Elephas maximus indicus: one gene and its partners. The protein of the gene in region 1 purifies or fractionates together with the protein of each later gene. This does not show direct contact. Links are inferred from orthologs where the notes say so. Each region holds a gene or a part of one and is shown on either strand. Other genes may lie near its edges. The genes, in order: ANAPC4, anaphase-promoting complex subunit 2, ANAPC13 and ANAPC7.

Region 1 (8,213 bases):
AAACTTAGGGTATGTCTGTATTGCTATCTATGCAAGAATCTATCCGTAAGAATAAACCTCAACGTTTTAACAGTGATTCTCTCTGGGTGGTAGGATTAGGGGTGATTTTTTCTTTGATTTACTGGGCTCATGTATTAATAGTCCCCTTTTAACACGCAGAATGTTTGGGTGACTTTCCCTAGTTTGCTCCCACTCCTCACTGCCACATTTGTAGGTGAAGAAACTGAGGTCTGCCTACTCCAGCTGTTTCTTAGGAATTACCTTGTCTCATCTGCAGTGGTATTCAACAACTAACCAGTCTGAGAATCTTGTGACTGTCCAGCTAATGGGGTAAAACTCAGAGCTAGCACGTCTGCTTGCTTACTTGCTTACTTTTGCTGCTATCTCCCTCAGTCTACACTAGCTCACCTGAAATCAAATAGTAGAAATCATATCATATGATCGTATCATATCACTTTCAAGTAACTTAACACATGTCCTAATGCTCCAATTAAAATAGCATCAAATAAATGAAATTAGATTTTCCTTTCCATTTTCTGGAAGTGTTCCTCACCTGGGCAGCTCTAAGTGTGTTAGCTTCCTATTCAAGTAGCAGAGTTAAGGTTTTGAGGCATTTCCACTCACTTAATCTGTATTTATAAGCACCTAACACTTGGAAGGTTTTTTTTAACACTTGGAAGGTATTGTCTTGGTGTAAAGAAATGCGTTAGGCTGTCTGCCTAATTCCCAGAGTTGTTGGGTGGAGTAACCCAGATCATACATGATGCAGCTGGTTATCTCTGATGTCACCGGGCGCAAGGGGCAGTTCCAGGAACCAGTGAACAAACATCGTTATGTCCACAAGGCCCCTGTCATCAGTGAGCTTCTAATGTGTAATGAGGTAAACGAGTACCTAAAGTCATTCTAATACAGCGCATGCTTTAAGTACCTTAAGAGAAGTACAAATTAAGACACACACAAGCACACATTGTATTTTTATTGCACTGGCAAGAGAAGTGCTATTCCCCTGGAGAGAACAACAAGGACATCGTGAAGGAGGTGGCATCTCCCCAGGGCCTTTTGCAGGCTGTAGTTTTATACCCAAAAGCTCGTCAAACTTCTCCCAGATGCCTAGTATTTTATAGCTTACTTCGAAGAGGCCAGACATCAACATAAATGTTTTTCTTAAAACAACCTAGGAAGCCAAATTATTCTAAGTTTAAAGACTTCCAGATAAGGCTGTCAATCTTCCTCACACAGCACATTCCAGCATTGAAAACCTCAGTGTTAGAATAGTCCTTGTATTGACTCTAAATTCCTATCAGAATTGTGTAGATCTGTTTTCCCTTTTTTTCAGCCCTTACAGGAAACAGAAAATAGAAGTTCTCTCCATATCTTACGCATGCCTACCATCTGAAAACTTCTAGAAAATTCTATCCTTCAAAACAATTTTACTGAGCACCTATAACGTGCAAGAGAGACATAAATGTTGAATTGACGTTATGTTGTGTTATATATATATATATTTTTACAATTAAAAAAAGAAAAAATTGATGGTGTCTTAAAATTAAGGAAATAATGTGATGATAACCATTAGCCATTAGGGCTCAATTCTTCAGGAGTCATGGTCCCACAGGTGTCTGGGTGCCAGACAGAGATACTTGAGAGATTTCATAGTTATCATGTATGGTGGATACCACAACAGTGAGGCAATGTCCCTGTCCATGTCTGACTCAGAGAAGGTTACTCTTACAATGATTTTACCAGGTTCACATCTCATCTAATCACCTCCAAATCTGTCTCTCCTACCACCATAGCAACCCACGTGACCAAGGGGGCAAGAGAAGAGTTTTCTGATGCTTCTAAAAGTCCAGGAACTTGGCCCATCCTTGGATGTCACCTGAAATATACCACTACCACAACGATCAGGGCCACGCTAGAGTATTCCACTTCATGTATTGAAAAGGCCTAACATACCTGGAATTCAAACACCAGATGGAGTGCACTTCCCTCCAACCTTACTCACAGGGGACTCCAGCTAACCCCAAGCAAAGATGCCTCCAAATTTGCTCTAAAGCGGTAGTTTGGGGACAAGGGAAAGCCATTATGCAGGTGGAAGCCATTCGAAACTATTCAGTTTTGAGGAGATAACGTCAGATATCTAGCAGGGAAATGGGGAGATGAACTGTTTGTTCTCTTGAGTATAAACTGCTCCCTGCAGTGCTTTGATACTGGACCACTGGAGGATTAACATCGGGCCTCCCCAGCAATCTTCATTTGTTATCATGGCTCACCAGTGACAGAAGAGAGCCATGAGTGAGGCACATGTGTCTCATTTAACTCACTAAAGCAAACCTGGGTCTACCTATTATTATCCTCATTGTAATAATGAGTAACGGGCTTCTAGACAGTGAGTGACCTGGTCAAGGACACACAGCCAGGAAGTGTTAGGATATGAGTGAGGGTTTAAACCACCAAACTAGCCTGCTTTCTGCTACTACTTACACATAGAGATACACTAACAGCATAGATTAAAAGAAGCCGAGATGACACAGCTCGTTGATTCTAAATGTCTCATTCATTCAACAAAGACAAGTGATTCTGTACATTGAAGGACAACTATAAAATGTACTTTACAAGTAAATATTTAAGAGTAATGTCATCATAATTATATTTATATCTTCAGAGTGCCTTTGTCAAAACTATTTCCATCTTCAGATGCAGCCTAAAAATAATTGTACATTGTACGTTTCTTTTCAAGTGGAGTTTAAACCATCTCATACTGTTTTAATATTTAACTTCAAATATTTCCATTTCTAAGTTAACAGAGTTTTATGTTCAATGTAAACAAAAATTCTTAAGTTTTCACTTTCATTTTCTTCTGACACCTTCTGCAAAAGAATGCTGTATGTCCATTTTTCAGATAAAGAAGGCTAAAATAGTATGATTGGAAAAGAGAAGGAAGGCATGCAGAGAGAGCTAGTAAGCCAGCTAAGGATGGAACAACTCCCCAGGTCTCCAGAGAGGTGGACAAGGCATCTATAAACCAGCATATACTGCCTGACTGTATCTGGCTTAGCCAGGTACATACCTTTGCAAGTGGCTGAATTTAAGTCCAGTGTGGCACTTTCAGAAAATGGCATCAAAGGTTGGACTATAAATCTTTTCTGATTCTCAAGTCACTGGACATTTAAGAGCAAAGATATTGATGGGCTCTTTCCCTTCTCTTTTTTTTTCCTTCTAACAGATGTATGATTCATGGATTGTCCTTTAGTGGTCTCCAATTCCATCTTATTACTTTTTCTTTGCTTCTGCTTCCTGACAGCTCTGAAAAACAAGGTACTAAATTATTTTGTAGAATGAGCACAGTAAATTCTGTAATTATGTTGAAGTTTAATTAACTAGCTAACCAAATAAGAAAACAGAGGAGAGAAGGAATTTACTGTATTATAAGCATAAATCCACAGAACTCTTACCATAGTAACAAGGAGATAGCCAGAAGCCTGACCAAACAAAATGTTTGAGAAAAGAAATTTCTTTGAAAGATGGTTACTACACATTTAGAACAATCTGTTTAGGACAAACACATCACAGAGGTAGTCAAGCCAATGAGTTATGTTTTTGGTTTTTTCTGTTTTGTTTTTTTTTTTTTTTTTGGTACATCCATACTGCTCAACTCAGCACTTCAATCTTCAAACCCCTGAATTACATTTTTTACAAAAAGGACCTATGCATTCGGCAGTTAGCATAATGGGAAAATGACAACACTGGAAGGGGCCCATTTTATAAGTCCTACAGTCCTTGGGCTAATTTTCCTTTCCTCAGGAACTAAAAGTCCTGGGCAAGTGCCATACAGGTTGTCCACATTTTGTGGTCCCTGTCTTCCTGAAAACTAGCTTCAAAATGAAAAAGCTGGACCCTGCCCTCTAAAAGCACTAAACCACACCAGAAAAAAACAGATCATTTGCTTCTGGCATTCTCTGAACTAAGTTACGGGTAATCTGTGGCTGAGAAAGACTACTGGTTTGTACATTCACTTTCTCCAAGCTGGAAGAATACCATTTATCGTATCATGAACCAGAGAACAGGTTGGGCTTAACAGTTCTGGCAAGCCTAGAAATTTCCCGTCACTAGTCAGCAAAAGGAAACCCTGGTGGTGTAGTAGTTAAGTGGTATGGCTGCAAACCAAAGGCTCAGCAGTTCACATCCACCAGGTGCTCCTTGGAAACTCTATGGGGCAGTTCTACTCTGTCCTACAGGGTCGCAATGAGTCGGAATCGACTCGACAGCACTGGATTTGGTTTTGGTTTGGTTTAGTCAGCAATAACAGAAGCCCTCGTGGTGAAGTGGTTAAAGTGCTCGGCTGCTAATGGAAAGGTCCGCGGTTCGAATCCACCGGACTGCTCCACTTGAGAAAGATGCAGCTGTCTGCTTCTGTAAAGATTACAGCCTTGGAAACCCTAGGGGGCAGTTCTACTCTGTCCTATAGGGTCACTATGAATCGGAACTGACTCGATGGCAATGGATTTGGTTTTTGATAGCTAGCAATATCAATAGTTAGCTTCACCTCTCGTAAACCACAAGCCCTGGGGAAAAGCTTATTTTTGACCTCCCAGGACCAAAACCTGCGAAAGGTTTCACAAACAATACATAATCCCCTAGTGAACCAAACTTAAGCCTCACTTTTTGTTCACTCGGCATAAGTGTCAAGAATACAAAAATGAATGGGCATAATCTTTGACTTCAAAGAGCTAGAAGACAGATGAGGCGGAAATCACCCTCCTATCCCTTCCCTAGGCTTTTTTTAGGAAAAGAAATTAAGGCTATGAAAATCTACGATCATCCAGTGAGGAAGTGGCAAAACTAGACTGATTCCAGAAACTGCTTTTAATCATTTTGGATGCTATGCATTACTATAAATTACTCAGCTATGCAAAATGCTAAGCATATGGTAATCACTCAATAAATATTAGTAGTAGTTCCACACGACTCAAGTGTTATTCAGTTTCGCTTGACAAGTTTGCAATGTTCCGTATGTAGACTTTGCACTATGGATTGGAATATTCTATCAGTTCAAAATGAAAACAGTCATCTTTATATTGTTTTTGCACGTTATACAAATCTCCTCTTTCCCCCAGCCAATTTTTAAATGTAAGATAATTTCCTGATAAGTGATGATTTAGCAAGTTTAATGAAGTATAGTATAATCTCTTGATAACAAAGTCAATGCCTGTACAAATAAATTTAAACAAATTTTTCTTTGGCTCATCCGCGAATAAGCATGACTAAAAATCAACACTATAACCAGATTTCACTAGGGGATACAGTAAACAAAAATAGGTGGAAAAAAATCTTAATATATTCATTTTCAATATGAATAAACAAAGCTTTGCAGATATAAAGTCTTGAAGCTGTGATGAACTGATTGAGTATAAATCAAATAATTGTTTTTACTTAAAATTAAAGTTAGTCTTTGTCCTCTAAAAGTATTTATGTAATTGACAAAATGAGTTTTAACCACAAGAGGGAGCCAGCATCATTCCAGTTCACAACCAAAGGAAAATTAGCATTAAGGAAAAACAAATTAATATAAAACAGCTGTAAAAAACAGAAGCTAAAAAGATCTTTTATGCCATGTATGCCTAAAATACTATTAAAATTATTTTTTTACTATCTTAAAGAGAAAAAATAACATAGCCTTGTTAATTTTAAAATAAAAAATTTTTTAAGAGAAATGTTAGCAAGAGTTTAGGAATCTTCTCTGAGAGAAGCAAGTAAAATACTATTTAAGAATGACCAGATATACCACATCCCCAAGGATTTGCTCTTAGACTTAAACTTCCTAAAATCTGTACTGAAAGACACAGATGAATTCCCACAATGAAAACAATATACGGTAAAACCTGTGAAAGCCGGAACCTGTGTAAGGTGGAAACCTGTCAGAGAAGGAAAACACAAATATTTTCCACAAATAGAGAGCAACAGAAAAGTAGTAAGACTGCAACCTGTCAAAGGCCGAAAACTTTCAAGACCCAGAAAAACAAGGCAGTCCTGTCACGTTCCAGCTCTCACAGGTTGTACTGTATTACCACAAAACAGACTAACTGAGGCTATTTAAAACCCAGGAAAGAGCCTACCGGGCCCTGGTGGTACAATGGTTAAGCATTTGGTTCCTAACCAAAGGGTCAGCAGTTCGAGTCCACCAGCAGCGCCTTGGAAACTCTGGGGCAGTTTTACCCTGTCCTATAGGATCTATGAGTCCGACAGCAACAGGTGTGTGTGTGTGTGTGTGTGTGTGTGTGTAAGAATGCAAGTTCAGTTTCTATGTATCATGAGTTTACAGAGGTAAAGGCTGAGCATGTTATCTTCCTGTTCCTACTGAGAATAGTGTAACAGTCACAGACCGATAGTTTATTAGGTTGCATTCTACTCTTAAAGGTTTCTACTAGAAGATTTTGTAAGATTCGTCAATAAGTTCTGTCTGTTTCTATAATGATCTCAAATCCCATAAGGTCTAAGACACTATTATGCTTTCAAAATACATATGAATAAGCACTCATAATATGAACTTAGAACTATGTCTACCACTCTGAGGCTCTCCTAATAAAGTAATTTAGAAAATTTCTAAACTTAGACACAGAAACACAGGAGCATGTGAAGTATGTAAAGAATGTAAATAACCTTTAAGTTCACTCTGACCCAGCATCCTGTGATACAAGAAAACAACATTAATTAAACAACCTCCCTAATGTCTAACCTTGAAGAGAAAATGCATCTTTTGGCTACTCTCTAACCCTGAAGAAAAGACAGAACATACTAGTCTTTGACGTCACACTGGCCCTCATGTGAAGCCAAGGTGATAAATTCACATATAAACTCTAAATTTCTGCTCGCGTACTGAGAGAAGATAGATATGGAACTGAGATTCTGTCCACCACCACTGGCCTTGGACCCTAGCTGTAAGGGATCTCTAATGAGTTCCAGCTGTGGTGAAGCCTGCCTCCTGAGACCTCTCATCAAAGGTATAAACCTGAAAGCAAAAGATTTGGACTCTAACCATTGACCAACATTGTAATTGTAAATTCTGATTCTCCAGTTCTAAATGAATGTTGTGAGGTCTTACCTGCATGACTACCTTGCAGTAAACTAAAGCTTATGCATATCAAACCTGAGTATCTCTTTACTAATTTTCTAAGATATTAAAAGCCTACACGACAGCCTCTTTAATGTTTTTAAAATTCTACTTCCATTCGGGTTACTTAATGGAAAAAATTATTTAAAATAGAGTAAATCTGATAAAAAGTAATGGAAAAGTCAGTTTAAGTAGGAGGTAGAATTCAAGTGGCTGGGTTTTAATGAAAAAAATTAATTTTCACAAAGAAAATAAAAAGAGATAATAGAATCCTAATACAATCATAAAATAGTAACTAATGAATGCATCATATACTTCTAATACTAATAGGTGTTTTTTCATCACAGCTCACATGACGGCTCAGAATCTTCTATCTTGATTTCAAACGTTCATGTAATGTGAAATTTGGATATCTGGTAATCTCTACCTAATAACCATGTGACCTTAGGAAAGGGTCTCAGTTTTCTTATCCATAAAACAAGAGGGTTCAATTCCTATCATCCCTTTAGTTTAAAAAAAAAAAAAAGATAATTATAATCATTCAAATTAGCCTGGTTGAAATAGCAATGGTTTTCCTAAATATGCTATTGTTACTGGTATAACTTTTCTCTGGTCTACAATCAATACCAAATATTGGTGGTAGTAGTGAAAATAATCATAGAAAAGAATGGCAATAAAAGTTTGAAACATTTACATATTAAATATTTTTAAGTATTTTCCTTTCGTCTGACTTGCTTTTAAGAAATAATTTCATTTTACAATTTCTCTACCATGGAATTACATGTTACATTCAATCTGAAATACCTTCTCCAGCCTTTCCTGCTACCACAAGTCTAAACCTGATCTGTCCCTGGAAGACTGGCTTAAAGAGTCCTTCAGTAAAGCCTGAACTCTTACCCTACAGTGAAACATAACCTCTCCCTCTATCAAATTACAACTGGACACAGGACAGGTACAGTTAATCAGTTTCTGCCTTATATTTTGGTTATTTTCATGTCTTATCCTGTAAAATTGTGAACTTTTTGAAAGCAAGCTCTTTGACTCATCTTCATATCCTGCCTCCATCTATGCAAACAATACTTAATTTTTTAGTAAATGATTA
Region 2 (7,438 bases), on another chromosome or scaffold:
CCCTGACTCCAGCCCCCTCTATGCACGTCAGCCCCCCTGTTCATCTCCACTGACACTGATGTCACACGTGAGTGAGACAGTTGCACACACACTCACACGCTGCATGCACCGCGTGGGTACACCCCTCCAGGACACAGATGTTACCAGTGCCCTGCCCTTCACAAACAAAGCAGTGCGGGACAAAGTCACTCCTGTGTGTGTGTGTACGTGTGATCCTGCTGAGAGGCGTCCCAGACGTGGGTGGGGTTAACACCACAGAGACAGCCCAAGCTGCCCTGGGCTGCTGCGCCTTGAGTCCCCGGCTCACTCCAGTATCTGGGAATCTGCACTTCGTCCCAGCTGGGCTGCCAGGGCTCATGACCACTCTTGCCCACTGCTTGGAGGACCCCTATTGTACCTCCTTCAACCATGCTAACCGTCATTTTTGGAGAGCGACCCTCAGAAATGGCGGAGTGAGAACAGGTGAAAAGCAGGGAGCCACGACGGTTGGTCCCAGCTCTCCGCCAGCTCTGGGAGAGCCCCAAGCCTGTCTGTGGATGGCACAGTACCATGAGGCCCACCCTGGGATACGACCCCACCTTGCCAGGCTGTCTCCCCAGTCTCCCCCATTGCCCTGGCTGCTCTTCTCTTCCTGCCCCTCCTCCTCTGCCCCATGGGGGTGCGCAGGCCATGCTGGGATGCAGGCTGGCTGCAAGGGGTCAGTCCCCGGGGGGCGCAGCTAAAAGGAGATCAGTCTGTCCCTCTCAGGTGGGCCTGGCCACACCGCTGCTTGGCCCTGGCACTGCCTCGAACCGTGTGATTCCGCTAAGACTTCACCCAGCACGTCGTGGATGCAACATGATCAGTGCAGCCCCCGGAATGGCCTCAACTACCTTCGAGGTCCCAGCCCACTCCGTCTCTGCACTTTGGCACACTTCCAAAGGGGACGGAGCAAAGGCGGCGATACCTTGTGGAACTCCCGTAGGAAGGAGCGTTCGTACTCGCCCCGGCAGCGGTCCTCCATCCTCTCCCGGGTCACCTGGTGCAGCGTGGTGGTCACAGCCTCGGCACTGACCCGTTCCAGCAAACTGAGTCTGTGTCTGAGAACAGACGAGTGTGTGCAGTGTCAGCTGTGCCAGGGCTCTGTGGAAAAGCTGCTGGGAGAACAGAGCACTGGCGAGGTGCCATTTGGCCTGCCCAGCTGGACTGCCCAGACTGGGGTGATGGCCATTCCCGTAGGAAGTGGCGGCAGGGGAGCTACCAGAGGCCCAAGCCCCATCTCCCTGGCCTGGCTCGGAAACAGCAACTGAATCACTGCTACCCGGGCCACGTAAACATAGATACCACCGTCTGCACCTTTCAGCACGAACGCTGGTCTAGAAAAATAAAGCTACTCACGAGGAAACAAGAAAGAGCGTTCCATACAACCTTCAACTGGGATGAGCCTAGCAGAAGCCCTTCAGGGCCTCTAGGGCCCTTGGCAGCAGCGGGACCACTCCCTTGATCCAAATCTAACTAAGAGACCCCTTCCAAACAACGGCATCGCAACCACTTTGCTCAACATGACAGAAATCATAACCGCGCTGGAGGGAGCAGACAGCAGAGCCTGGCTGCAGCCAACAAGAACTCCTTCCCAGAGAATGGGGACACAAATCTGCCTGCCTGACACGCTCAGCACAGAAGAAATGGTGAGCCCCCTGTTTGTTACCCACTGGCACAGCAACCACAATCACAGGCTACGTACACTCCCGTTAGCCTACAGGCAGTACAGCAGAATTCTGGGGAGCCAGTAAGTTTGGAATGGGGACAGAAATCTGCTGCACGCACAAGTCACATAGGGTCTCAGTGTGGGCAAAGTGTCAACTCCTGGGCTGTGCACAAAAACTAAAGAGATACAACTGGTCCAAGACCAAAGGCTCAAAACTCACCATCCAAGGGTGCCAGGGCCCCCTCCCTCTGGGATGCCCCTGGCCAGCTGACCAGCTCTCTGCAGCCAGACCCAGAGGAACAATTGGGAAATCAGGAGGCCCAGGGGCGTGGCCACACGCATAGTACTCACAGGACCTGGCTGAGCTGGTGGAACTGCTCCAGGGCCTGGCGACACCAACACTGCTGCTTGTCACTGCCACACCCAGCACAGAGTGGGCTCTGCAGGAGCCGGTAGTAACGGCGGCGAGCATATCGGCTATCCAACTCCCCCTCCAGTTCTGGGTCGGTGCCTCCTTCCCCCTTCCTCTTACTCTGCATATAGACTCTCAAGAAGCGCCCGTAGAGACGTTGGATCATCTCCTGGAAAGTTCTGGGAGTGGAAAAAAACAGAACACCCCGCAACATGGTGTGGACCTTCTCCCGCAGCCCCTGTGCGCCAGTGCCCATCAGCAATCCCAGGCGAGACCATTTCTCCAGGAGCTCTAAGCTACGCAGGTAGGGATCCAGGCGATTCTCCAACAGGCCAAAAGCGTCAAGGAGCAGCAGAAGGCACTGGGGCTCGTCCGCGGAGTTCTCGCGCTGGGAGATGGCATTCCAGAACTCGGGGGAGATGTTAGCCTGCAGGTCGTTCTGCAGCACCTCCACGAACCACTCCTCCAGGACTGAGTGCAGGCCGTGGCCCCGCAGAACCTCCACAGCCGCCCGGAGCTCCTCCTCCTTTGGCTGGACCGCACCGCTGGTCCGAGAGGACGCCTACAGTGCAGACAACCGTGAGGAGAGGGGAACGCAGAGCTGCGAGTGGACGTGGCGGGGGAGGGGAGCGGCAGGCGGGAAAGGCGGGCAGTGCAGCGGAGGGGAGGCTGCGCGAGCCCCGCCGCTCCTCGGCCGCAGCGCGCCGATGTGGCGCCGACGCTGGGAAGGGCTGGCAAGGGAGCCGAAAGATGCGGGACTGTGGAGGAGGGCGGGAGGGCAGAGACGGGCGATGGACAGAGGCGGAGGCCCTAAAGCTTCGCGGGGACCGCGCGCGAGCCCGCCGTTCTCTTCCGGGCCTCACCAGCCCCAGCGCAGCCGGCGGCACCAGCCCGGTGCTCACGGTGTTCCAGGCCACCAACAGCTCCTGTCCGGGCGCGGGGTCGCAGTCCCCCTTCGCCCCCGCCGCCTCTGCAGCCATCTGGGCCCACCGGCTCCCGGGTCCGCCCGGATCAGCGCGGCTCCTTGACGCACGGGCCGGGCGCGGCGCAGGGCGATGACGCAAAAGAGGCGCGCGGCGATGACGTTGCAGGTCGGCGCGCTCTCGGTGCGCACTGCGCAGGCGCAGGCGAGTGCTCGGCGGCGGCGGTTGGAGTGACCGGGATCCCCGCGGCGGCGGCGGAGGGGCGAGTGTCCGGGACGATGACTCAGCAGGGAGCGGCGCTGCAGAACTACAACAACGAGCTGGTCAAGTGTGAGCACGTCCCGCGCCGTGTAGCCCGGGCGGTCGTAGCCCGCGGAGGGGCCTGGGCCAGCGTTGGCACAGCCGCCCGGGCGCAGCGGGGCGCTGGAGGCGGCGGCCCAGCGGCGGGGCCCCAGGCAGTAGGCGCGCGGCCGCCAAGCAGTTGCGTGGCCGTGGGCAAGTGTCGCGCCGAGTCCGTGCGTGGCCTCCTGGCCCCAGGGTGGGCCTAGCGGTACATTAGGACCCGCCCAGCTCGGTCACTGTGCGTGGAAGGCGCGTGGGAGAGCGCCTGGTGCGCACCGAGTGCGCACTGAGTGCCGCGTGTTTGTAGTGAGCACTACCTCCCAGGCACAGCGCTGTCGCCCACGTCCACCGCCTTATTGTATCCAGAGGCCCCCGAGAGGCAGGACTCTGGCCCTCCTTGGAGGGAAGGCGGCCTAGCCAGGACCTTGCTCTCCTTCCTGCCGCCCCAGGCATCGAGGAGTTGTCCCAGAAGCGCGAGGAGCTGTGCCGCCAGATCCAGCAGGAAGAGGACGAGAAGCAGCGGCTGCAGAACGAGGTGAGGCAGCTGACGGAGAAGCTGGCCCGGGTCAATGAGAACCTGGCTCGAAAGATCGCCTCTCGAAACGAGTTTGACCGGACCATCGCGGAGACGGAAGCTGCCTACCTCAAGGTGGGACTCGAGGCAGCTGGGGCCACAGGCCAGGCCGATCCCTTGTGTGGGCAAGCGTTGAGTGCCTAGGGGGTTCAGGACTGGGGGCTTTCCTGAGTAGAGGCTTCCCTTCCCCTCCCCGGACCCTGGCTCAGCACAGGGGCATTCAGTTGTGGGAGCAAGGGGTCCCAGCGAGCAGTCTGCATCTTCCCCACATCTCGGCTGGGCCCACTGAGGAAAGGAGAATGCTGTCTGTGGAACATGGTGTGTCCCAGCCCATGTTCTCCTACCACGGTTGTTCCTGAGGTTCACTCTGCTCGGTGTGTGATGGACGGGGGGCCGGCAGAGAACAAAGCACTGGCCAGACCTGGGGAGGGAAGAGGCCCCTGCAGGCCCTGCCTGTCCCCGGGTACCCCCCAGGCGGGAGCATCAATGACCAGCCTGTGTTTTCTTTGGTCTCAGATCCTGGAGAGCTCCCAGACTCTGCTTAGTGTCCTGAAGAGAGAAGCTGGGAACCTGACCAAGGCCACGGCTTCGGAGCAGAAGGCCAGTGGGGGCAAGGACAGTTGACGAGGCCATGGGTGGGCCAGGCTACTTGGCCCCCAGGAAACCTGTTAATAAAGCGTCTTTGTTCTGTATGGCAGCAGCCACCTTCTTTTCCTGTCTTTGGTATCAAGGCAGCTGCAGCCTTTGTTAGCTCTGGATGAGAAAAGTAGCCTACCAGGCAGGGATCTGGCTCCGTGGTGCTCCCAGCAGGCAGCAATTGGGGAGGGCACTCCAAAACCTCCACGCCTCCCTGTGCTGCTGGTTCTAGTCTCAACCCCCAGGACTTCTGCCTCCCTTGTCCCTCCTTGGCCAGCAGGGGCCCAGGCAAGTGAGGTAGTGGTTGGGCCCTCTTCTGCCTCAGAACTGAGACCTCAGAGCTTGTTCCTAGTGCCCCGTGACTGTGTGAATAAAGGCTTTCTTTGTAAAGAATCGTGCTGGCTTGTGCCTGTGTCGAGTACATGGGGCTGCTTGCCACCCCCAGAGCTAGCCCACAAAGGTTCTGGCTGGGTATGGTGGCTCCTCCATGGGGCGGGGCAGGGAAAGGGGACTTGGAGTGGTTTTCCCTGTGACTGAGAGCCCCAGTCTCAGATGCAGAGGGTGCCACTGGGCATCTCCCATGACCCTCCTCCGCCTACCTGCAGATGTCAGCCCCAGACCTTTGCTTCACCTACGGCCACTTGCTCTATCCCTGTCTCACCCGACCCCCACTTACTTTCCCCCAAATCCAGGACACAGCCCATCCTTCTCTGAGGGCCTTCATCTGCTGGTCGTGCTCTCTGCCACACCATAGCCGGGCCCAAGGACAGTTGGAAATGGCTGAGTGTGCACGCCAGCCCCCTTCTGGACGCTGGTTCCTCTGAACACAGGCCTTATAGCTTCACACCCTTTCTGTCCACTTCTCTTCTTCCCTGCGCTGCTGGGCCCCATCCTTCATCCCCAGACCTCTCCAACCCTACCTTCGCTGGCATATCCTCCACCCTGGGGTCCTAGCACTGCAGCAACCCAGGCCTGTGGCTGGGTGCCTTGGGGAGACACATGTTGTTGAGAGGAGAGAGAACACACCAACATGCTGCCCTTTGTCCCAAACCTGGTCCCACTTGCTCATTCATAAGTTTGACTCCCTAACTCCCCAGGAAGGAAACAGGTATTCAGACTCAATGCTTGGTCGGTCCTGCCTGTGGATTTGTAAACAGCCCGGCTCAGCCTGCACGTGGCAGCGAGGATATCTGGGCCCCCAGCCCAGCCAGGAGCTGCTCCAGTGTGGGGGCCCCCACCTCGGCTTTCCCACCTCTTGACATACTTCGGTTTTTCCTGCCAGCACTAGCGCCCACCCCAGGCACCCACATCTGCCTGCCTGCCTGCCACTGTGTGGGCTCTGCTGGGTTAGGACTTTTCCAAGCCAAACAAAGCCAAGATCTCCAGGGCTCTGCCCTGCCCCAGACCACCCGTGGGCCCATACTCAGCCCTTGCTCTTCAACCCCTCTCGGGCTCCTTGCCCCTAACTCTTCAGGGAACCAACTCAGGTCCTGGCACACAAAGAATTCCCAATCTCAGATGGAAGGCCCAGCATCCTGCCTCCTAAAGTTGCCAGCTCTAGGTGGGGGTGCTGCACCAGGCGCTCCCGACACTGACCGAGAGGCGACACAGGGCAGCTGGGTGAGAGAATGGTGGGGGAGAGCTGGGGCTGTGGAGATTGTGAGAGGCCAACAGGTACCTCCTACTTGGCCACAGGTGCCCATCTACAAGGTCCCTCCCCTCCCCCACCCCCCAGTGGGCCCCCAGCAGATGTGCTCCGTGGAACCCCAACCCCTGAACCCTGAATGCCCAACAGGAGGGACCACCCAGAGACCGAGGCGGCAGTGTCCAGTGCTGTTTATTTAGTCCGTTCCTCAGGAAAGACTTCCCGTTTACCACTCAAGAAGCAGGGCCAGGCTCAGCCTTGGGGGTCAGTGCTGGCTGGGCTAGGGGTGGGCCAGGGAGCCCCTGCAGGGGAGAGCCCCTTCACAGTGCAACTGGGCAGGATGAGGAGCCAGGGCTTGGCAGGACAGAGGGTAACCTGGGCCAGAGTCCGCTCAGGCCCCCACCAGGACAGACAGGGGCGCCATCCAGCCGGACCCCTGGGCCCCACACCGCTCTCTACTTTGGAGCCCATCCAAAGGAAGTGAGACCCAGACAGACCCATGGGAAGAACCCAGGAGCCCCAGTGCAGGCCCTGAGCACCTGGCTGCCCTTGCAGGGCAGAAGGTGGTACATTGTGGCAAGGGAGCCTGGTAAGGGGTGGGGACAGAGTGAAGGCGGGCTCCTGGGAACTGCTGGCCCCACCACCTGCACCAGGGTTCTACCCATCATCCTGAAGGATCAGAAATAGAGGGCCGGCTCACTGCGGAAGTCCGAGAGGTCATTCTGGCCGGCAGGAGTGAGCTGGGAGAAAGAGGGGATGGCTGAGGCTGCTGGCTTGTCCAGGCGTTCAAGACCCTCTCTGGCCCTGCCCCTTGGTACCCTCCAGCCCCCACTCACCATGATCTCCTTAGGAAGGGGCTCCACCTCGCACGGAACCAGCTCTGCTGTCTGCTCCTGCCACTTGCTGAAGGCCACCGAGTGCTTTGGAGTGTAGCTGGACAGGTCTGTGGGTCATAGGCGCAGTATGAGGACCTGGGATCCCAGCACTGCCCTCCCCCACTGCCACCCTCACAGGTGGGCACTCACCTGGGCTACCACCTGGCAGCCGAGGGCTCTCGGGCCCCACGCTGTTCACGAAGGTGGCCCGGGGCAGGAAGAGCACAAAGGGCTTCTCCTCGGCTGCCCCCTCTGAGCCGGACCCCTCGTCCTCCCCCTCCTCCTCTGGCTCCTCGGCCGCCTCCTCCTCCTGCACCAGGGAGCTCTCAGAGGGGTACTCGAAT
Region 3 (7,662 bases), on another chromosome or scaffold:
CTCAGCTGATGAATGCTCTAAAAGTGTACCCTGGACAGATATAGCATACACGTGGGAGGGGGAGGCAGGGAGGCCAATTTCACAGTGTGTGAAAGGAGGGCAACGTATGTGACGGCCTTGTTCGTGAAACCCTGTTGCCATTGAGTCGATTCCAACTCCTGAGGCCACTGCACACCTAAAACGCAGCTTTTCCCTCCTAGCTGCGCATTTACTTTTCCCCAGGGCTTCGAACCAGTTCTTCCCAGTTCAGTCATGGCCAAGGAATTAACACTGGAAGAGAAACAAATTTTTAAAATTTAGGTGATCCAGAACCATAAGTGGAACAGAAAAAATTATGGGTCAAAGCCCTGCAATGGGAGACTCAGAAGTGGCATAGTGCACCCTTTAAGGAGCCTGATTTGTGAGAATGGGTTATTGCCAGGAATGAGGAGAGTGACACATTCAAAGCAGCATGCTCAGCCACCATCTTTGAGCCAGGCACCACTGCTTCTTACTGCGCAAAATCCAAAGGGCAAGATATTTGGTTGCCATGCAACCCATATGCTGCCTTTGGTTTTCAAGGAGATTAAGTTTCTAACAGGGCTTCGACACCTGTAATTTTTCCTGTCTCCTGGGCCATGACCGAACCAATTCAAAGCCTTGCTCTTCCCTGATTATGAGGCCTTTGATGAGTTCCTGACTCATAACTGCCTGCTAAGTCCCGTGTCCATCCCCTCACAGATTTCCTGCACTACATTTACAAAAGTCTCTGCCTTTGTTGGCGTTTTTAAGATACAAGAGTTAAACGAAAAACTGAACTGAGTTACACATAGTGGCCAAGAGCAGATCTGACACAAATCCTCAAGGCAAGAAGATTTCAGCAGTCGAGCTACCTCCTTTCTTAAAACAGAACCCTGAGCGAGCTCTGAAAAGGGCCTCTCCAGGTGAACGGTGGCAGGACCCCATGCTGCCCCAGTTTCTGCTTCCACGTGGGGTTTCTTCCCTGGATTCTTATCGCTGCTCCCCGTTTAATAATCTGGTTCAAGTGGTCAAGATACTTACTTAGCTCCTTGACCCTGATTCCTCCCATTTCCTCCTGAAACAGGTGCAATCTAACTGAAAAGGCTGGGCAGCTTGGTGGGTACCTCTGGGTTCCCAATCTCCAAGTTTAGGCTCTGTCACTTCATCATGGGAACCACTTTACTGTGCTCCTTGCTACAAAGGTGCCATCCTGAAGGCCTGGAGGACACCGGCACCAAAGGCACTCTAGACACTCTCAGTTTCAGAAACAGCAGAGACTCATACAAGAATGGTCTTTGGGGGTGGAATCCAGTTCCTTCATACAGGCCTGTACGTAGTCCAAATAGTGTAACTGCACAATAGCCCAAACACTGGGGCAATAATTACACAGGTTGGGGTAGGGCAAGTTTTTTACTCTTGTAAGGATCCAGGCAAAACTGTGAAGCAAAAGGTGCCCAGCTATCTTTGCCACCAGTAAACTAGTTTAGGAAGATCGTAATATTTCACTTAAGAATTACTCCACTATACCGACAATGTCAATCAAGTTGAAAGAGCCTGTGTTTAGGAAATTTACACACAAGGCTTTTTCACTTTCGGTTCCAGTTATACCTGTGGAGTTGCTGTCCTCCAAGGGCGCTCCTTTGTCCTGCTACCACTCCCTTTGTCCTTTCTGCTCTGTTCCCTTCCCCCATGCCCCCCTCACTTTTCTCCACTGATTCAAACCTGCAGATTTTTCCAGGCCCACACAGATTTCACCATTCCTAAAATTTTCTGAAATCACTAGAGTTTTAGTTAATTTCTGTTCTTGCTTTTTGTCATTACGATCCACTAACCAAGTCAGGGCAGCATTGTGGCCCACTGATTAAAAAAATATTATCTCCAATTGTTATATATATAAATTTGGTTATTAATGACTCTTTGGCATACCTTTCCCCAATTTTGTTTCTATCGCTTTTCACCTGTTCCTCTCTCAAACACCTCCAATCCTGTCACACCTCCCAGCCCTTGCACTTATAGCCGCCCTTTCCCTATCACTAACTCCTACTTTTTTCCCCAATCTGGCACTGGATTCAACACCCCATTCCTGGGGTTAGGTGGCTTCACGATTAATGGACTGGAGAAGTGGGAAGCATCAATATAAGCATGTCTAAGACAAGCGGAAGGTGCCCTGGTGCCACAGTGGTTAAAGTGCTCGGCTGCTAACCCAAACGTCATTGAAACCAATGACGAACCCACAAGCCACTTAGGGAGAAAAATGTGGCAGTCTGCTCCCTAAAGAAACCCTGGATGCCTAGTAGTGGTTAAGTGCTACGGCTGCTAACCAAAGGGTCGGCACTTCGAATCTGCCAGGCGCTCCTTGGAAACTCTATGGGGCAGCTCTACTCGGTCTTATAGGGTCCTATGAGTCGGAATCGACTCGACGGCAGTGGGTTTGGTTTTGGTCTGCTCCCTAAAGATTACAGCCTTAGAAACTCTATGGGGCAGTTCTACTCTATCCTACAGAATCGCTGTAAGTCGGAGCGAACTGGAGGCAGTGGGTTTTTGGTATTAGGACACGGCCACTGTCCCAAGCACTCACCACACTCGACCGAATACACTTGGAATTTACTAAACAAACTTTTCTCTCCCACGCCTTTGTGCCTACACATGTGTTAGCCCTAACGCCTGGGGTGCTCTTTTCTCTCATCTCGGCTAAACCTCCATCTAAAAGATCAGCTCCAGGTAAGCCTCCTGCCGACGGTTTTCTCCCAGCCTGAGGAGAGCGCGACGCCCAACCCTCCGCGGGTCCTAGCGTCTCCCGGCGCATGGAGCGGCCACACTACGGGCTCGTTACGTGTCTTCCCAGAAGGGCGGCGCGCGTTCCCTGAAACACGGACACGTTTTACCCATCTCTCCTTCACGGCCCTGAGAACGTATTTACAGAATCAAGCAGAACGATCTTTCCTTCGCCAGAACCGTCCTCGCGGGTCACCACCGTCTACACCCCTGTGCGTGTGGCCGCTCCACAGCCGCGGCTTCCGGCCTGGGGCTGCACAGACCGAATACGGAGGCCGGGAGGGGGTCCCCCGCCGCCCGGACGCGCCTTTTCGCCCCACGAGGCGTGCGGTGCGGGCGGTAACTCCCAGGGAGAGAGGTAAGGTCACCGACTTCGGCCAACGGCAGACGGGGAGGAGACCCAACACAAAGAGCGAAGGCCTCCTCGCCCTCCCCAGACCTGGGCCGGGAGCGCGGGAAGCTCTCCCCAGCACCCAGCCCACCGCGGCCTCGCTTCCGCCGAGCACGCCCCTCTCGCGCGTTCCCGGATGTGGGTGAGCCCATTTGCGCGCGCAGAGGGGAGGTCCTGAAAGGACACTGTTTCAAGGAAGAGTGAGGGGGGAGTGGGCGGAACGAACGTGCTAACGACAGAGCCGGGACGTAGGGCTGGTGGGGACGCGCGTGCGCGTCCCCGGCCCGAGGTAACGGCGGGAAGGGTCGGGGGCGCGCTCGCGGTACCCCGGTAACCGCCTGTGCGCTTGGCGCAGCGGGTGAGGGGCGGGCTCGTTCGGAGGGCGACCTGGCTGCAGTGGTGCCGCCGGCCGCGGGGCCGCATGGCCCGGTCCCCGCCGCCGCCGCCCGCAAGCCGCCAAGCCCGTCTCGGCGCCCCTCCGCCCCCCGCCCCTCGGCTATGCTGCGCGCTTCCTGCCGGCCTGTGAAGGCGGACGTAGCGGCGCCTGGCGCGCGTTCCGGGCCCGCCAGGTGGTCAGCCTTGCTGGAGCCCGGCGGCGGGGAGGGGTGCTTCGGGGAGCAGTCGGGTGGGCGGGCCGCTGGCAGTCCGCTCTTCGTGGCAAAGGCTCCCGCGCGCTCTCCTCCTTACGGTGCTGGTCCCTCAGCACAACCCCTTACCTAGGCTGCTGGATAGGGGCGCATTGACCGGTAAGCAAGGTACACACGGGTTCACTTGTGTTTACTTCTCTGGAGTGCACAATTTCACCTGGCCCGTAGGTGAATAAGCACAAATTAATAATAAGCACAAGTAAGCCCGTGCGTGCCTTGTTTATTGGACAATCTGTCCCTGCTGCTGGATCTGGTTAGAATTTTCTAGCATTGTTGCTGATTTATTGCAGGTAGTACCGGCTCATGAATGGTTGGGTGGTTAACAATTTTAAAAAAGCGAATTCGTTTAAAAAATGCTAATATTTAGTACAGGAAGTACGAGGATGTGGCAAAATTCGGGAAGGACTGAAGTTGGGGAACCCTGAACTGATTGCTCCATGCGTGCAAGTCAGGACTGGGAACCACGTAAGAGTGGGTTAAAAACGGCGATTCCTTAGAAACACTTTAATCCTGAAAATAGAGACAGTAAATCTAGCTCGTGATGGGGTTTTTCTTGTGTCCCTGTAACATCAGGAGAGAAATATAAGGCTGTCAGAGACTAGTCTTTTTTTGTAATTAACAGTGCAGTACACTTCCATAAAGTAGTTTCCCCTGAGCACTTAGTTTTTGCGTCTGATTCCCTAAACCGATTTTTAAAGAAAGCTACTTTATTTCTTTAATAAAGCGATATTGTAGATTCCCATATTTGTACAGGTCCTTATAAATGCTCATGTTAGCATTTAGTTTTTATTTCATAGAGATGAAGAAAAAAACAATCCATTTTGGTGGAGTCAATCCCAACTCAGCGACCATATAGGATAGTAAAACTGCCTCACAGTTTCCAAGGAGCTTCAAACTTAAAACCTTTTGGTTAGCAGCTGAGCTCTTAACCACTGTGCCACCAAGGCTGTAGATGAAGAGGAAATCATGATAATGATCATCAACTACACTTTACCTTCAAATATTTACGTTTATACTTAAACCAAAACAAAACAAAAAAATGATCCAGTTCATCCCGACCCATGGCGACCTCATGTGTGTCAGAGTAGAACTGTTCTCTGCAGGATTTTCAATGGTTTATTTTTCAGAAGCAGGTTGCCAGGCCTTTTTTCTGAGGTGCGTCTGGATGGACTTGAGCCTCCAAACTTTCGGTTAGCAACCCAGCACATTAACCTTTGCACCACCCAGAGATTCCATACACTTAATAGCTAGAGCTTAATGATACAATAAAAAGTATATCTTTTCTTATGTGGAATACAATACTGTCTTTAATTTTTATCCTGAATTCAGAAGGTTTGAAAAAATTATTCATTCTTATAAATTTCCATTTGTTTCTCAAACTTGCTTGCTGCTTGCCTTTTGACTATGTCATTATCAGAGATAGGTATAATTTTAAAAAAGGCTTTAAACTAAAATGGATTAGAGATTTATAAACATTTGGATTGACACTGCCATTTAAAATGATGTAAATTCAGATGTAAAAAATTTGTGATAAGTATATATATTAATTGTACTGATGCCATTTTCCTCCACTTAAGAGGTAGAAGCCCTTAGCCTTATGGTGAGTAGTCCACTCTCTCATTAGATCATTCCTTTTTTTTCCAATGTTGACTTGTTCTGCCAAAGCCAATTATGACATAAGGTTTCAGGAATTGAATTTCTGATTTTTATGTTACTTACGGGTTTTTCCCTCCAAGAACAGAGGTTTCTTTTTTCGGTTTTACAAAACCATGATACTGTCATCACACCTACAAAATTAATAATTCTATAATGTCAATATCCAGGCAGGGTTCAGATTTCACCAACCATCCCATAAATGTCTTTACAGTTCGCTTGTTTGGATGAAAGTCTTGTAAAGATCTACCCACATGTTACATTTGGTTGATATACTTTTTAAGTCTGTTACAATCTTAGTAATTTGCTTTTCTCTTTCCCCTTTTTTCATTGCCATCTAGATTTAGCTGGTTGTAGCTATGTGGTATCCTTTAACTTGTACCTCTGTTATTTCTGCTAAACCATTAGATATAGAACTGCACTGTCCAATATGGTAACCACCAGCCAACTGTGGCTATTTAGATTAATTAAAATTAAAAATTTATTTCATTAGCTGCATTAGCCACATTTTAAGCCCAGTCGCCCATAATTTCCGTAATTGCATAAAGCTCTGTTGAAGAGCACTTACCTATAAGCTTGATCATATTCACCCTTGATTTTTTTCTTTTTTTGATGAGTGGGGGCAAGAATATTTTATAGGTGCTGCAGTGTACTTGCTATTGTATCATTGTCGGGGGGCAGGTAGTGTCTGAGTGGTCTCTTTTTGTGAACAGTGGGTTCAGGTGTTGTTAGCCCAATCCATTCATCATAAAAGCTCCTATGAGCGGTTCACCTGTTGGTAAAATACTTTTGTGGGTTAGATTTACTGTATCCATTATTGCGGTATTTTCTGTCAAGTTGATTCTGACTCATAGTAATCCTATAGGACAGAGTAGAACTGCCCCATAGGGCTTCCAAGGCTGTAATCTTTACAGAAGCAGACTGCCACATCTTTCTTCCATGGAGTAGTTGGTGGGTTCAAACTGCAGGCCCTTCAGTAAGTAGCCGAGCATTTAACCAACGCACCGCTAGGGCTCCTAATCATTGCATTGTTGTTGTTAGGTGCCATCCAGTCCTTCTAACTCATAGCGACCCTATGTACAACAGAACAAAACACTGTCTGATCCTATTATTATTGCATTAAAAAAAAAACCAAACCTGTTGCCATCGAGTCGATTTCGACTGATGGTGACCCTACAGGACAGGGTACAACTGCCCCATCAGAGTTTCCAGGGAATGCCTGGCGGATTCAAACTGCCGACCTTTTGGTTAGCAGCCATAGCACTTAACCGCTACGCCACCAAATTATTGCATTAGGGTTTGCAAAATGGTGATTTTGCAATTTTTTCATTATTTCTGTATTTATTAGGTGGAAATCTTTTATGAAGGATGACTTTCCCTCATCAGCTATTTGATTATCCTGACATACAGTTTGTACAGGAAAGGCGAGAAAAATGCTTACCTCTTTCCCTCTATTTTCAGACTACAGTAATGAGTCGGTGCCCTAGCAACTTCCAAAGGTAACCATGCAGGTTTTTGCTTTTTTTAATTTTTTATCATCATATACTCATAGATTTGAATATATTTTAACTGTTTTGACCTATTGGAATCATTGTTCTTTTCTTTGATAGTCAAATTGTACTATCTTTAACTAGCAGAAGTCCTTTTAAGTTGGCTCTTGTTCTTTTTGACATGACTCCAGTAGTCTCTGATAATTTTCTTGCTTCCTAGTAAAACATATTCCTGGTCATCTATACATTTCTGGCCTCCAAGGAGCCCTGGTTCCTTTTAGGTGGTCATTGGTTCTACGATTTACAGTAGCCAGAGCTAAAAGAGAAATGTACAGAGTTCACAATGACATTTCCAGTTTAATATTATAGATTTTTTTTTTAAATCATGTGTTTGATTTTATATTTGTATCTTTTTCTCTTGCTGAAAATCTTGGTACCTAATGTCATTAAATATTTCTTTTTTGCCTTATCCTATAATTATGTAATGGTTTCAAATTAACAATACCAATTATTGTTATTATTCATATTCATATAATTCATATAATTATATTATTATTCATATAATTCCCAAGTGGTGTTTAGGATTTCTTTGCAGTTCTTTTTTATCCTTAGTTTTTACTCCACTAGGGATATGTGCAATAAAATTATTTTATTAAAGGCATATGAAATAATTTAAATGGCAGGCTGCCAACTTGATATTTAGTTG
Region 4 (7,882 bases), on another chromosome or scaffold:
AATCCCACCCTGCCCCTTCATTCCCAAATGAAAAGGAGCTTAACATGGTTTTCTTTGACAGGTAGAAACTATAGCTGCTTAAAATTAAAGAACAGAGTGAGTGAAAGAACTCTGTAGACAGTGAGTTTCTCAACAAATGGAGGTGTATTCAAGAACAGGTACAATAGGGACAGAAAGTAAATATGCAGTGGTTGCCAGGGGCTGGGGAAGGGTAGATGGAGAGTAACTGCTAATGGGTGTGGATTTCTTTTTGTGCAGGGTGATCAAATGTTCCGGAATTAAGGTAGTGGTGATGGTTACACACCTTATGAATATACTAAAAACCATATAATTCGACAGTTTAGAGGTTGAATTTTATCTTATGTGAATTCTATCTCCTTATAAAAAATAATAATAAAAAAAAAAGGATAGGCTAAACACTAGATCAAGTTACAAAGGAAATTCAAGAACTGTAAGGTACAGTGCAGATGACTTCAGATTTCTTCCAACTCTGAGATTCTATGTATTTAGTGAGAAGTATGTATCTGATGCTTGGATAAAGAACAAAGTATCATCATATACACAGAACACATTCAGGTATTTATATAATGTAACATACACGCCTATTTATGTGGGCAGAGGTGAGGTTCTCTCAGGAATGATACATGAAAAACTGTTAACAACTGTGGCCTCTGGAGAAGGGAATGGTGGTGTGGTGCTCAGGAGCTAGGGACAGACACTATCTGCATATAAGATGACAGAGCACGGGGCAATAGTTTCATTCTGTTACTGAGACAACTAACAACAACCCTTTCTGTACTTTTTTTAAACTATTAGCATGTAACTGTCTATTCAGTAAGAAATTTTAAAATATAAAGGTTAGAACTTAAATATATAGATACATGTTGTGTCTGCTCTTCTTTATTGATATTCTCCTCTAGAGGCAGAAGCTAGGAAGCTGCCAGTCGAACTTCATATGAAGAAGCCTAGGCTAACTAAAGAGCAGCCCGAGGATCAGACTATCCTATAACTTCTTCAAGAAACAATGAGTACCCCGGACCCTTTGATAGCCCAAGACTGGAACCATTCCTGAAACCAACTCTACAGACAAGGATTGGCCTAGACTCACATGAGACCATGTGGGCGATTCCTGCCTGATGGTGAGATGAGAAGGAAGAGGGGGACAGGAGCTGGTTGAATGGATACGGGGAATACAGGATGGAGAAGAGGAGTGTGCTGTATCGTTAAGGGGAGTGCAGCTGGGAGTACACGGCAGGGTGTGTACGGCTCTTTGTATGAGAGACTGACTTGATTTGTAAACTTTCACCTAAAGCCCAATAAATAAATTAAAAAAAAAAGAAAAGAAAAAGAAACAATGAGTAATGACTAACTGGTGCATAAATCCCAAGTGTGGAAACCATATGCTTTGGCAAATCACTCTGGAGCAAGTGAAAGGCTCCAGAATAAACACAGAAGGCTGACAGAAGCCAGGGCTCCTTGCTGTCAGCATTAAGTGGATGGTGGCAAAATGATGGGTCTCACAGAGTGAAGTCCAAAGCACGTTCATGGAAATGAAATGGGAAGCAGTGGCTGCACTACAGGCACTTAAGGCCTTTCCCTTCTGACGTAGACTGCTTCTAGAGCAGACCAACCACACTGGGTCCATGCTAAGTAGGAAATTCAACCACAATGCCATTTAGGCTGTGGTGGGTCAGCACGGAGGCAGAGAGGACCAAGGTCCCATCCCGGATCCTCCACCTACTAAATGTGTGAAGTTGGACAAGGTATTTCACCAGAGATCGTACCCACTTGCTTATCACACTTAATAAACACATGAGTGCTTACTGCACACCAGGTTAAGTGCTAAAGATACAGCAGGGAAGGCAATTAATAGGGCTCCTGCCCTCATGATGCCTACGGTCTGGCAGGGGAGGTAGATGTAGATGAAATAACAGAACTTCATCAGTGACAAGAGTGATGCAGAAAATAAAACAGAGCAATCGGCTAGAAGAGTAGGGAAAAGGGACAATTCTAGTGGTCAGAGAAGGGCTCTCCAGGAGGGATATCTGAGCTGAAAACTGAATGAAGCAGCAGGAAGAGCAGTGTAAAGGCCCAGAGGTGAGAACAAGCCTGATGCGTTTAAGTCACAGAAAGAACTGTCGAGGGGGCTGGAAGGCAGTGAGCAGAGCAAAGGAGATGAAGCCGGGTTGGGCCTTGCAGGCTATGTTGAGCACAATGGAGGATTTTAAGCAGGGGAATGACAATGCGATCACAGCTGGAATGAGGCCGGTGCTTCATCCATCCTAAGACTCAGTAAGTGGCAGCTGTGAGAATATGAAAGGGGCACGCTCTGCATCTCCTGGGAGTCCTGGGACCTGACATAAAGAGGCGCCACTCCCACCTGATCATCGAGGGAGCCGCCCGTTTTCAGGGGCTTGTCTAGGCGAGACATTCAAAGGAGAAAGGCAATCCCAAGGGTGGGAAAAAGGAATAAAAGGCAGGGGGCTGGGCCCCCTGGAGCTGCCGAGAGCGGGAAAACGTTCTTCCGGAAGGAGCCGGGAGGGCAGGATTCAGCCCAGCGACGCCTGACAGCCGCTCTGCTCGGCGCCAGGTGCCTCAGCAAACCGGTCGCTCCCAACTTTCGGGGGACCCTCTCCAGGGCAATCCTTTCGGGGGACCCCCTTCAGGGCAATCCTGGGAACCTCCCGCCGTGCAGTCCTCCGCGGGGAGCTCATCCCAGCGAACTCGCCGTGCGCTCCCACGTCGGATCCGCCGACGAGGCCTCGCTGACACCTGAGCCTCACCTGGGGCCCGCGGCCGCTCCACCCCGCTCCCAAACCGGCGCCGCTTTGTCTCAGCCCAGCCGCTCCCCGCCTCGACTCACGGGTTATTGTTACTCATCGTCAGTAACAAGCTGCTGAGGAGCCGCACGTTGGAGTGCAGCCCCGCGGCCGCCATATCCCGCACGTGGTCTATCACGTTCATTCTACCCGACGAAGCCGCAGGCAGCGGCACCGAAGGCCGGTACAGGCGCCCTAGAGAGGCCTCCAAAATGGCGGCCCCGCCGGGGTCCATCGGGTCCACGTGAGGCACCGCCTCCAAGAAAATAGGCGACTTCCGTAGTGCCTGCTTAAAAAGTCAGGTCCTGGCCGCCCCGCGCCTCCTGTGACGTACTGGGGCGCTTGATTTGCAATCCCCCCTCCGCCCCGTAAGGAAAAATTATGTTATCATTCCTAATCCGCAAACTTTATTGAGGGCTTACATTGGGCTAGGCTAGGGACCGAACACCTTTCAGTAAGAATAATTGCTCAATTGAAGTGAGATGAGTCTGAGAGGAATGTGTACCTCAAAAATTAATTACTAATGTATACACATTTATTATAAATAAAATCAAATTTGAAAAAGTAGAAAAAATACAGTAGGGCGCTGAAAAATTTTCAACGTCGTCGTCGTTAGGTGCCATCCAGCCCCTTCTGACTCATAGCGACCCTGTGTACAACTGAACAAAACACTGCCAGGTCCTGCACCATCCTCACAATCCTTGCTATGCCTGAGCCTATTCTTGCAGCCACTGTGTCGATCCATCTTGAGGGTCTTCCTCTCTTTCGCTGACCCTCCACCAAGCATGATATCCTTCCTGACGATATGTCCGAAGTACGTAAAGCCAAGTCTCACCATCCTTCCTTCTCAGGAGCGTTCGGGTTGTACTTCTCCCGAGAAAGATTTGTTCATTCTAGTAGTTCATGGTACATTTAATATTCTCCAAAATCGTAAATCAAGGGCATCAATTCTTTGGTCTGACTTATTCATTGCCCAGGCTTAGCATGCATATGAGGTGATTGAAAATACTGTGGCTTGAGTCAAGCACACCTTAGTCCTCAAAGTGACATCTTTGCTTTTTAACACTTTAAAGAGGTCTTTTGCAGTGGATTTGTCCAATGCAATATGTCATATGATTTCTTGACTGCTGCTTCCATGGGTGTTGATTGTGGATCCAAGTAAAATGAAATACTTGACAACTTCAGGGTTATCTCCATTTATCATGATATTGCCTATAGGTCCAGTAGTGAGAATTTTTGTTTTCTTTATGTTGGGGTGTAATCCATACTAAAGGCTGTGGTCTTTGATCTTCATCAGTAAGTGCTTCAAGTCCTCTTTGCCTTCTGCAAGCAAGGTTGTGCCATCTGCATGTCATAGACTGTTGATGAGTCTTCCTCCAATCCCAATGCCCAGTTCTTCTTCATACGGTCCAGCTTCTCGGATTATTTGCTCAGTACATACAGATTCAATAAGTGCGGTGAAAGGATACAACTCTGATGCACACCCTTCCTGATTTTAAACCAGGGAGTATCCCTGTGTTCTGTTTGAATGACTGCCTCTTGGTCTATGTACAGTTTCCCCATGAGCACAAAGAAGTGTTCTGGAATTCCCACTCTTTGCAATGTTATCCATAACTTGTTATGATCCACACCATCAAATGCCTTTGCATAGTCAATAAAACAAGGTAAACATCTTTTTGGTATACTCCGCTTTTAGCAAAGATCCATCTGACATCAGCAATGATATCCCTCATTCCACATCCTCTTTTGAGTCCAGCTTGAATTTCTGGCAGTTCCCTGTTGATGTGCTGTTGCAACCGGTTTTTAATTATCTTCAGCAAAATTTTATTTACATGTGATATTAATGACATTGATAATTTCCACTTCCTATTGGATCACCTTTCTTTGGAATCGGCACAGATATGGATCTCTTCCAGTCAGTCGGCCAGGTAGTTATCTACCAAATTTCTTGACATAGACAAGTGAGTGCTTCCAGGATTGCATCCCTGCATTTGTTTGTTGAAATATTGCAACTGGTATTCTGTTAATTCCTGGAGCCTTGTTTTTCACCAATGACTTCAGTGCAGCTCAAACTTCTTTTAATACCATCGGTTCTTGAACATACACTACCTCCTTAAATGGTTGAATGTCGCCCAGTCCTTTTTGGTACAGTGACTCTGTGTATTCCTTTCATCTTCCATCTTCTCTTGGTGCTTCCTGCATCATTAAATATCTTGCCCATAGTGTTTCAGTATTTCAAATCTAGGGTTGAATTTTTCTTCAGTTCTTTCAGCTTGAGAAACGTTGAGCATGTTTTTTCCTTTTGGTTTTCTAATTCAAGATCTTTGAACATTTCATTATAATACTTCGTCTTCTTGAGCTGCTCTTTGAAATCTTCTGTTCAGCTCTTTCATGTCATTTTTTCCATTTGCTTGACTTACTTTACCTTCAAGAGCAAGTTTCAGAGTCCTTTCTGACATCCGTTTTGGCCTTTCTTTTCTGTCTTTTTAATGATCTTTTGCATTCTTCAGGTATGACGTCCTTGGTGTCACCCCACGAGTCCACCTAAAATAAATCCTCAATAAAAAAAATTAAAAATTTTTTTTTTTTTTTTTTTTTAAGCTGGAGTTAAATATTTTAAGCAGGCGCCAGGGGCAGTCCTAACTGCTCTTCCTGTTGCGCTTGCGCACTAGACTGAAGGCGCCACACCCCCTCCTGGCAGGTGTTTCGTGCGTTCTTGGGGAGTCAGACATCCCCTCCTGGATAGCTGCCTTCCGTGCGAAAGGGCAGTTTTACCCTGTGAAATGACTCGCTAGCTCACAGTGAATGAAGAAGGCGCGTCCAAAAATGAGCTGGTACTCATAATAGCCAGCATTTGTCTAACACAGTTGACATTTTACAAAAGTTTTACACCAGTTATTGCATTGAATGGGTTGCTCACAAATCAGTCTGTAAGGTTGAAATTGTTATCTTTTTACAGGTGGAGAAACTGAGGCCGCCTGCTTAAATTTTGTGCCAGATATTTAAATGGCTGTTTCCAAAACACCTAATTACACAGTGGCAAAATATATTAGATCGCCACTTCAGATGCGTATGAGGGCCAGGGAGAAAATTGAACGAGGCAGGTTAGATGTTTGAGCTAAACAGAGTAGGAATATTCTCCACTTCTTACCAAAAAAATATGACCTGTGGCTCTTTGGAATTTATTGTGAAATGGGGCTTTTATTAATCTCCACAAATTTATCCTTATGTTTACGACTTTTCATAACTTTGCATATCTGGTGCTTTGAAAGTAAAATTAATAAGTGTTTTTTTAATAACCTATGAGCTTGTGCTACAGTGATTGATGACTTTTTTTTACCGCTCATTGAGTACGAATATGCCAAGACAATCAGTTTTGACAAAATGATCGACAAGGTTGCAGAATTTGAGGAACAAAAATAGAAACTAATATTTATTTCTGTGCCAGACCAATGAATAAAATACAGGTTTGTTTTTTGTTGAAAAAAATTTTTAAGTTTTAAGCCATTACCTTTTTATACTGTAATATTTATTAAATTTTTACTGTCATTATTTAGATGAAATTCAGATAAAATATGTTTTCATTGGTTATTTTCTGGCCATTACGATTACTTCTTTCATTTCAGGATCATTGCTAAAAGTAATTTTGTCATGTACTTTAACATACCCAAAAAAAAACCCAGTGCCCTTGAGTCGATATAGGAGGTGTAAAAATTATCTACTCTGGGTGTCAAACTTGCTAAGTATACCACTGTATCTAACACGCTCAGAGCAATGTCTGGCACATAGTAAAAGAAAAAGGGCCATATAAAAAAAACAAACCAAAATCTTTGCTGTAGAGTTGATTCCAACTCATGGTGACCCCATGTGTTGCAGAGTAGAGCTATGCTCCGCAGCTTTCAAGGCTGTTACAGTTTGGAAGGGAGCCCTGGTGGCACAAAGGTCAAGCACTTGGCTGCTAACAGAACGGTTGGCGGTTTGAACATGCCAGCTTCTCTGAGGGAGAAAGATGGGGCAGTTTGCTTCCGTAAAGATTATAGCCTTGGAAACCCTATGGGGTAGTTTCAGTCTGTCCTATAGGGTTGCTGTGAGTCAGAATTGATTCGATGGCAACGGGGTTTTATCTTTTGGAAGCAGATTGTAGGCCTTTCTTGCAAGGCACCTCTGTGTTGGTTTAAATCACCAATCTTCTGGTTATAGTCAAGCGCTTAACTGTTTGCGCCACCCAGCGACTCCTAAGCACTACATGTTTGCTATTATATATTTTTCTACATTTGAAATATTTTGTAAGTAAAACCACATCTGATAATAGCCAAAAAGTGGAAATAATCCAAATGTCCATCAACTGATGAATAGATAAACTGTGGCATATACAATGAAACAGTATTCAGCGATAAAAGGGAATAAAGTACAGCCAAAACATGAATGGATCTGAAAAAAAAAATTATTCTGAAAATCATGCTAAGTGAAAGCCACCAGAGGTGAAAGACCACATAGTCTATGCATCCATTTCTATGAAATGTCTCAGAAAGTAGATTAGTGGTTGTCTGGCTGGGTGGGGGAGTGAGGATTGACCACACGGGGGTCACTTTGGGTTGACAGAAATGTTCTAAAACTGGATTGTGGTGATGGCGGCACAACTCTGTAAATTTACTAAGAATCATTGAATTGTACACTTACAATGGGTGAATTTTACTGTATGTAAATTATACGTCAATGAAGCTTTCAAAAAATAAAAACACATAGGTTACATAAGGAACCCTTGTGGCTCAGAGGTTAAGCACTCAGCTGCTAACCTAAAGGTCAGTGGTTCAAAGCCACCAGCCGCTCCGTGGGAGAAAGGTGTGGCAGTCTGCTTCCGTAAAGATTACAGCCTTGGAAACCCTATGGGGTGGTTCTACCCTGTCCTATACAGTTGCTATGAGTCAGAACAGACTTGGCGGCAATGGGCTATAGGTGACATATGAAAGCAAGCCACCAATTTACAACCTCTGCTGTAAATCTAAAATATTTATAACGTAAGTCTAAAATATTTAGATTTACAGTATGCTGTAAGTCTAAAA

What was found.
Region 2: the proteins of ANAPC4 (region 1) and anaphase-promoting complex subunit 2 purify together in Homo sapiens (affinity purification with western blotting; 12 studies listed by BioGRID and IntAct, with this or other methods). This does not show direct contact. The link is inferred for Elephas maximus indicus from reciprocal best matches to the Homo sapiens genes ANAPC4 and ANAPC2.
Region 3: the proteins of ANAPC4 (region 1) and ANAPC13 purify together in Homo sapiens (affinity purification with mass spectrometry; 9 studies listed by BioGRID and IntAct, counting the BioPlex papers as one, with this or other methods). This does not show direct contact. The link is inferred for Elephas maximus indicus from reciprocal best matches to the Homo sapiens genes ANAPC4 and ANAPC13.
Region 4: the proteins of ANAPC4 (region 1) and ANAPC7 purify together in Homo sapiens (affinity purification with western blotting; 14 studies listed by BioGRID and IntAct, with this or other methods). This does not show direct contact. The link is inferred for Elephas maximus indicus from reciprocal best matches to the Homo sapiens genes ANAPC4 and ANAPC7.

The regions. Positions count from the first base shown.
Region 1 is NC_064823.1:137,986,319-137,994,531, forward strand, and holds the start of ANAPC4 (anaphase-promoting complex subunit 4), read right to left. Parts: upstream 3,159-8,213; 5' UTR 3,071-3,158; intron 1-3,070. Other genes in the region: rRNA N6-adenosine-methyltransferase ZCCHC4, read right to left, coding at 3,159-3,306. UniProt on the Homo sapiens protein: Component of the anaphase promoting complex/cyclosome (APC/C), a cell cycle-regulated E3 ubiquitin ligase that controls progression through mitosis and the G1 phase of the cell cycle.
Region 2 is NC_064827.1:1,039,178-1,046,615, reverse strand, and holds the start of anaphase-promoting complex subunit 2, read right to left. Parts: upstream 3,213-7,438; 5' UTR 3,080-3,212; coding exon 2,963-3,079; intron 2,662-2,962; coding exon 2,039-2,661; intron 1,080-2,038; coding exon 947-1,079; intron 1-946. Other genes in the region: microtubule nucleation factor SSNA1, read left to right, coding at 3,301-3,352, 3,814-4,013, 4,455-4,562; TPRN (taperin), read right to left, coding at 6,897-6,959, 7,056-7,162, 7,245-7,438. UniProt on the Homo sapiens protein: Together with the RING-H2 protein ANAPC11, constitutes the catalytic component of the anaphase promoting complex/cyclosome (APC/C), a cell cycle-regulated E3 ubiquitin ligase that controls progression through mitosis and the G1 phase of the cell cycle.
Region 3 is NC_064844.1:45,037,502-45,045,163, reverse strand, and holds the start of ANAPC13 (anaphase-promoting complex subunit 13), read right to left. Parts: upstream 3,235-7,662; 5' UTR 3,215-3,234; intron 3,174-3,214; exon of another isoform or gene 3,039-3,173; intron 3,012-3,038; exon of another isoform or gene 2,886-3,011; intron 170-2,885; exon of another isoform or gene 1-169. Other genes in the region: CEP63 (centrosomal protein of 63 kDa), read left to right, coding at 6,835-6,965. UniProt on the Homo sapiens protein: Component of the anaphase promoting complex/cyclosome (APC/C), a cell cycle-regulated E3 ubiquitin ligase that controls progression through mitosis and the G1 phase of the cell cycle.
Region 4 is NC_064840.1:9,000,858-9,008,739, forward strand, and holds the start of ANAPC7 (anaphase-promoting complex subunit 7), read right to left. Parts: upstream 3,048-7,882; 5' UTR 2,965-3,047; coding exon 2,864-2,964; intron 1-2,863. UniProt on the Homo sapiens protein: Component of the anaphase promoting complex/cyclosome (APC/C), a cell cycle-regulated E3 ubiquitin ligase that controls progression through mitosis and the G1 phase of the cell cycle.